Linked DNA regions of Oryctolagus cuniculus. Each later gene encodes a partner of the first gene's protein in a complex. Links are inferred from orthologs where the notes say so. Each region holds a gene or a part of one and is shown on either strand. Other genes may lie near its edges.

What was found. Proteins that work in one complex are often made in the same cells at the same time.
Region 2: the proteins of ACTL7A (region 1) and TES are in contact, whole or in part, in a crystal structure (PDB 2XQN), measured with the Homo sapiens proteins. The link is inferred for Oryctolagus cuniculus from reciprocal best matches to the Homo sapiens genes ACTL7A and TES. Residues at the interface, in NP_006678.1 of Homo sapiens: Leu28, Gln29, Thr30, Ala31, Ser32, Leu33, Arg34, Asp35, Gly36, Pro37, Ala38, Lys39, Arg40, Ala41, Val42, Trp43, Val44, Arg45, His46; in NP_056456.1 of Homo sapiens: Asn311, Glu312, Tyr313, Thr314, Gln315, Ala316, Glu317, Leu323, Phe326, Leu335, Ala336, Gly337, Glu338, Ile339, Tyr340, Val341, Tyr353, Pro370, Glu371, Val372, Gln373, Arg374, Val375, Thr376, Tyr377, Ala384, Phe389, Leu398, Ile399, Gly400.

Annotation. Positions count from the first base shown.
Region 1 is NC_091432.1:212,560,447-212,564,194, forward strand, and holds the end of ACTL7A (actin-like protein 7A), read left to right. Parts: 5' UTR 1-1,788; coding exon 1,789-3,111; 3' UTR 3,112-3,241; downstream 3,242-3,748. UniProt on the Homo sapiens protein: Essential for normal spermatogenesis and male fertility. Required for normal sperm head morphology, acroplaxome formation, acrosome attachment, and acrosome granule stability.
Region 2 is NC_091434.1:151,686,107-151,689,622, forward strand, and holds part of TES (testin), read left to right. Parts: intron 1-258; coding exon 259-511; intron 512-1,341; coding exon 1,342-1,677; intron 1,678-2,441; coding exon 2,442-2,657; intron 2,658-3,051; coding exon 3,052-3,210; intron 3,211-3,516. UniProt on the Homo sapiens protein: Scaffold protein that may play a role in cell adhesion, cell spreading and in the reorganization of the actin cytoskeleton. Plays a role in the regulation of cell proliferation. May act as a tumor suppressor. Inhibits tumor cell growth.

The DNA.
Region 1 (3,748 bases):
TTTCTTTCCTTATCCCTACAAGGAGCCAAGAGCATCCCCAGGAACCTCCTTAAGAGAGAAAGCCCTGGGACCGGTGCTGCAGTACAGTGTTGGCATCCTGTATGAGCACAGGATTGAGTCCTGGCTGCTCTACTTCCCATCTAATGTGCCTGGGAAAGCAGCAGAGGATGGCCCAAGGGCTTGGGCCCCTACACCCACATGGGAGACTCGGAAGAAGTTCCTGGCTCCTGGTTCAGCCTGGCCCAGCCCTCGCTGTTCCAGCCATTTGGGGAGTGAACAAACAGGTGAAAAACCCTTCTCCTCCTCTCTCTGTATGTCTGCCTTTCAAATAAATACAATTTTTGAAAGAAAAAAAAGAGAGAGAGAAAGGCCATTACTGGCGTGACATAGAAGAGCAGGGAGCAGGGGTAATGTCCAAGGTGCTGCTTGACATGAGGCAGGGCTCTGGGTGTCCTTAGTGTGGCAGGCCAGCAGCACCAATGCAGCCAGCTTCAAAGTGGCGTACAAGAAAGTGGCCGAGCAGCCTCAGAGATGCAAGTTAGGTCTCAAGGTGCGTCCACAGCATACATCGGGAGGAAGCCAGAGCGAGGAAACTTGGCCATTGCTGGCTGGACAGCACTGAGTGAGCTACGCATCCACAAGCTTCAATATTCTCATCAGCCGGACTCAGCAGGTTCTAACTGCCCACCCTCTGACCCAGATGAAGGAGGAGCAAGCACACAAAGGATGCCCTAAAAACAATTCCTCCTAAGGTGGTCCTAAAGGGTGTTTAGTGTCCTAAGTGAGATAGAAGAGCATGGCACAGTCACCCCAGTAGCCAATCAGCCTTCTAAAATCTAAGTCAAGTGGTGTCACTCTTGTGCTCAAAATCCTCTGGCACTATCAAAGCTCACCCAGGGCCAAGGCCAAATGCCTTGCAATGTCCTATAAGGACTGACACGAGCTACTCAGCCACCCCCACTCCCACAACCACTTCTCCCTTCCTTCCTTGCTCCTTCTCTGCTGGCTTCCCTGGGCTTTCCCACCCATCCTCTAACTTGAGGTTGGAAACTCTTCTCTGTAAAGAGCCAGATGGTGAATACTTAGTTTTCTTCAGCACAATCTCTGTTGCAAAGACTCAGCCCTGCTGTCGTGCTGCCACAGCGGCCGTGGACAGTGGGCGAATGCATGAGCGTGGCTGTGTTCCAACTAAAGTTCCCAGACCATCCTGGGCTGCCAACTGCATTTGGCTGCCATCTGACACCCCCTGCTCTAACCCGCAAGTCGCATGTCTGCCTCCAGTCTTATGCACCTGCTGGACCCCTGCACACACACCTGAATAGATTATCCCTGCTTTCTTCGGGTCTTCCTGCAAGCAGTACCATCTCACAGAACCCTGCCTAGTTTTTGTCCTTCACTCTCAACACTTTCTAATAGCTATTTCTTTTGGTTATTGCCTGTCTCTCCCAACCCCTTCTGACTAGAATACAAAAATAAGCTGTACCAGCACAAAGATTTTTGTTTTTTTCTCCCTTCCTGCTGTATTCCCAGCTGTCTCACTCATAGCAGGCTCAATAAATACTGACTGAATACATCAAAGTTATTATAAACTTTAGAAAAAGGGAGCTGTTTGGAAAACAATGTTCAACCCTGACATGGGACAAAGATTCTCAGTGTTTAGAAAGACTCAGGTCACTGGATTACATCATAATCAGTGATGTCATTATTGGGAAAATTCTCAAGCTCTGCTCTGAGTTAGGCCTTTCAGGCCTTGTAGCCAGCGGGATTGAGGAGCGTTCTGAGAGTAGTATGGCTCTGGAAAGCATGTGGGCTCCACAGGCAGCAAACATAGGTGATGGGCCTGGCAAGAAAGTGGGTGACCGGGCCTCCATGCAGACACAGCTCCTCCAGACAGCCTCCCTCAAGGATGGCCCGGCCAGGCGGGCAGTGTGGGTCGGCCGTAACTCTTCGGAGCCAGAAGAGCCTACAAAATCAACAGTGGCCGAGAGGCGGCCCAAGTTAGGGGTGACCAAAGCAGTGGTCGTGGACCTTGGCACTGGCTACTGTAAATGTGGCTTTGCTGGCCTGCCAAAGCCCACCCACAAGATCTCGACAACAGTGGGCAAGCCCTACATGGAGACAGCCAAGACCGGGGACAATCGCAAGGAGACGTTCGTGGGGCAAGAGCTCATCAACCCAAAGGTTCGCCTCAGGCTGGTTAACCCCCTGCGCCACGGCATCATCGTGGACTGGGATACGGTGCAGGACATCTGGGAGCATCTCTTCCGACAGGAGATGAAGATCGCCCCGGAGGAGCATGCGGTCTTGGTTTCAGACCCGCCCCTGAGCCCACACACCAACAGAGAGAAGTACGCCGAAATGCTGTTTGAGACCTTCAACACCCCCGCTATGCACATCGCCTACCAGTCCCGCCTGTCCATGTACTCCTACGGGCGGACCTCCGGCCTGGTGGTGGAGGTGGGCCATGGCGTGTCCTACGTGGTCCCCATCTATGAGGGCTACCCTCTGCCCAGCATCACCGGAAGGCTGGACTACGCAGGCTCTGACCTGACCGCCTACCTGATGAACCTGTTGAACAACGCCGGGAAATACTTCAGCGAGGAGCAGATGTGCATTGTGGAGGACATCAAGAAGAAATGCTGCTTCGTGGCCCTGGACCCCATCGAGGAGAAGAAAGTCCCTCCCACGGAGCACGCGATCCAGTATACTCTGCCCGATGGGAAGGAGATATACCTCTACCAGGAAAGGTTCCTCTGCGCCGAGATGTTCTTCAAGCCCTCTCTGATCAAGTCCATGCAGCTGGGCCTTCACACGCAGACTGTGTCCTGCCTTAACAAGTGCGACATTGCCCTCAAGCGGGACCTCATGGGGAACATCCTGCTCTGCGGAGGCAGCACGATGCTCAGCGGCTTCCCCAACCGCCTACAGAAGGAGCTAAGCAGCATGTGTCCCAACGACACCCCGCAGGTGAACGTGCTGCCGGAGAGGGACACTGCGGTGTGGACCGGAGGCTCCATCCTGGCCTCGCTGCAGGGCTTCCAACCCCTGTGGGTCCATCGCTCTGAGTACGAGGAACACGGGCCCTTCTTCCTCTACAGAAGGTGCTTCTGAACGCATGATGCCGAGCCACTGCCGTGACCGTGCGGCAGCTTGGCCTGGTGAGCGTCCACCCTCCACGCGGGGAGCTGAGCCAGCACACTCCTTCCTGTAGCATTAAACAGCCCTCATGTTCCCCTCTGCAGTATGTGTTTCCTACTTGGTGAGAACAATCCCACGGATGCGGCTTCTGTTTTAACAATATGCATTTGCCAAAACAAAAGCCGGGGCGGGGAGGAGGATCGATGAAGACAAGCACATGTGGATTGCTTATAAACACTCATTTTCTTGGGAGAAACTTGTCAGTGCACATGGTTGACAGGGCTCAGGGACTTGTTTTCCATTTGTTAGCAGGGGAAGGGGAGGAATGACTGGGCTATTATTTTTCATTTGGGGGAACTCTGTTACAAGTGCTGGGTTTTAGCATTTGGCACAGCAGGTTAAGCTGCTGCTTGCAATGCCAGCACCCATCTACCTCTTATACAGGAGTCTGAAAGTCTCTAACTATGGTCCTTGGTCACACCTGCACTCAACGGCACATACTCAGTGTTCAGAAGGGAGCTGACCTCCTCCCATCTTCAGGGAAAAACCCTAAGAGCTGCCCCCTCATAGCCTCCACGTTTGCCTAGACAGCCTTGGAAGGCCCAATGTG
Region 2 (3,516 bases), on another chromosome or scaffold:
CGCAGGCCTCCCCCATTGGGCATACACTTTTAAATCATGACCTAACTTTTCAAATACTTAGAAAGCAAGCCCTGTTTCTGTGTCTCCTCATTTAAATATGGTGTATGCTCATCCCACCCTCTGAAAAAAGGACTTACTTTTGCATTCCATTATATAGAATACATTTAAAGGTGTTTTATGAACTGTAAACTTATGAACATACATGATTATTATTGATGAGTTACAATTAATAATTATCCTGCTTATCCAAAATGATAGAAAAATATGTCGTAACTGCAAGTGTGGCCAAGAAGAACATGACGTCCTCTTAAGCAACGAAGAGGACAGAAAAGTGGGGCGACTTTTTGAAGACACCAAGTATACCACTCTGATCGCAAAGCTAAAGACGGATGGAATTCCCATGTATAAACGCAATGTTATGATACTGACCAATCCAGTTGCTGCCAAGAAGAATGTCTCCATCAACACAGTCACCTATGAATGGGCTCCTCCTGTCCAGAACCAGGCATTGGTAAATAACAGGGTGAAGGGGCATCTGTTAATTTATTTTGGGCAATTCCTTTCCATTTATTATCTCTCTAGGGTTCTCATTACTTTGGCATCGAATGCCTTTATAGTGTTTTGAAAGTTAGACTAGATACTGCCTAGAATTTTCCAACTATTTACATATATTTGCCTTCTTTATGAAATAGTCTAACATTATTAATAATGAGATGAAAATAAGATTTTTAAAACATCAATCTGGTAATGCTGTCTTAGTCTAGAGAAAATTCCTTTAAAATGGTAATGGATAGCTAAAGAAGAGAATTTCTGCCCTTGATTAAAATTGTGAAAAGCATCTCACACTATATTTTTTTTACTGTGTGAGCCAAAAAGCATGCAACTTTGTGTCAGGCTCTTCCTGCTATTATGTAAAAACTAGATGAAAACACAGAAAAGTCTTTTAAGGTTAATTAAATCATCAGAGTGAGTCTTTTGGCGCTTTGGTGGTCATATGATGAACACGCTGCTGGTCCACAGGCTGTGGTTACTGTGTTTACTTTGTGTTCTGTTTTCAGTGGCACCTGTGTTCATTTAGCTCAAGTGAATAGTAGTAACCCAAATCATTTTACAGGCTGGAAAAAAAATTAATGTCATGGAGAGAAATGTGTTCTCTTTTACCCAACTAAATCCACTTAGCATAACCGTTTTTGAATGTTACTCCCCTGAGATCTTTGTACTGCCCATTAGATGGAATAAACCCTCTTCTTCCCTAAGTAGCTTCTGCTGTATGCGATACAGTGATGTCCTGTGTGATGACCAAAGCCTTCCCCAGCTGACCTTGGTCTCCTTGTGGTCCAGGCCAGACAGTACATGCAGATGCTGCCCAAGGAGAAACAGCCAGTGGCAGGCTCGGAAGGGGCACAGTACCGAAAGAAGCAGCTGGCAAAGCAGCTCCCTGCGCATGACCAGGACCCTTCCAAGTGCCATGAGTTATCTCCCAAAGAGGTGAAGGAAATGGAGCAGTTTGTGAAGAAATACAAGAGTGAGGCACTGGGCGTAGGAGATGTGAAACTTCCCTATGAGATGGGTGGTCCCAGCCCCGACAAACTCTACATCCCCGCTGGGGACAGAAGCACGCCGGCAGCCTTGGGGCCCATGGAGAGCAAACCTGCCGAGTGCAAAGGAACTCAGTATGTAAGTGGAGTGGCTGGTTTGATGTTTTACAGCTTCTTTCCCTGTCTTTGAACTTTTTGGATGGGGGGCTCTTTTTCTGTTTCCAAAAGGACTAAGAGAAGTAAGTTTATTGACCCTGAGTTAGACTTTTGTCCTAGCGTCATGAGAAAGCCATCGTGTATGACACTTCTGTCTGAAGCCATATTTTCTGAGTATCTTTTGCCAAGGATAGTTGTGAGTTTGATGCATACAGAGTAGTTGGCATTGGCATCCTGCTTGAATACAACATATGAGTCTAGAGTTTGTTTCTAAACACAATTCTGGTGTTAATTGCTCATCACTTCCCATACATAAGAATAATGTGCGCTTAGGTTAATTCAGTTTTGCTTGTGAGTTCATTCCCAAAATTCAGAATTAAATTTTCATGGCTATATTGTCAAGCTTTTTTTTTTTTTTTTTTAGGTCTCCTAGAGAGGGAAATGTAAATCCTTTTTTAGTAGGATGAAAGTAGAAAACAGTTGTGACACAGATGAGCAAAGAACTAAGCTTACTGTAATACCAAGACCCAGCTAGCAGTCTGCCAGTCAGGCTGGGTCCTGAGAAAAATACCAGCAAGCTCTAACGTCATGAATTTTGAGAGCCTGTGTGTAACATCGAGGTGAAAATTATGATGAGTAGCGTCTTACATCAATGACTAATTCAGGAAACACTGCTGTCGTAGCCCAGGGTGAGAGAAGTGGGTGTTAGGCTTGTTAGGTGACCGTGTTGGATGCCTTCCCTCGCAGTTCTGCTATTGCTGCAAGCTGAGCATGAAGGAGGGCGACCCCGCCATCTATGCCGAGAGGGCCGGCTATGATAAACTGTGGCACCCAGCGTGTTTTGTCTGCAGCACCTGCTCGGAACTGCTGGTCGACATGATTTATTTCTGGAAGAATGGAAAGCTGTTCTGTGGCAGACACTACTGTGACAGCGAGAAACCCCGATGTGCCGGCTGTGATGAGGTATGTTCTCAGGGCCACTCGCATGCGGGCTCCCCCGACCTCCATATGGGCCTTTCCCCAAAAAGCAATAGCAACTAACCCAAGCATGAGTTCTTTATTTCTATCCAAAGAAGTTTAATGAAAAAAACTGTATTTCATTCATTTTTAGTGTCTCTGTCAATTGTAGTGACTAAGGAAAACTGGGCACAGAAACTACTGATTTGGATTTAATGCTAAATTTGGTTTAAATTAATTTAACACGCAAGCTTTAGATTATCATGTTGAAGCTTCAAGCCCCAAGAAAGGATATTGATTTACTTTTTCAGCTAAATGCCTGCTTGTGTAAAGAACCTAGCTTTGTCATCCAAAGCAAAAAGGAAAATGCCCAGTTCATCTTCTTTTCCTGCTTCCCCAGCTGATATTCAGCAATGAGTATACCCAGGCAGAAAACCAGAATTGGCATCTGAAACACTTCTGCTGCTTTGACTGTGACAACATCCTGGCTGGCGAAATATACGTGATGGTCAATGACAAGCCTGTGTGCAAGCCCTGCTACGTGAAGAATCACGCTGTGGTGAGAAGCATTCAGGGGGGATACCTTGACCTCAGCCTGCTTTGAGACTCGAATTTGTGCCTCTCTCTAAGCCTCTTAACAAACAGCAAACAGAGAACTCTCTTAAGAAGAGTGTGTGATTCCTACCTTAGGATGCTAAAATCCAGGCAATTCATAAACAATACATAGACTGTCTGCTAACTCAAGAGTTCTGTTACATGTTTACAGTGTAGATGATAAATGCCACAGGGCAATAAAATCCTCAGTTAACAAAAATAATCCTTGATGGGAATGAGATTGATGTCTTCTCATGGGTGCAGACCAGAT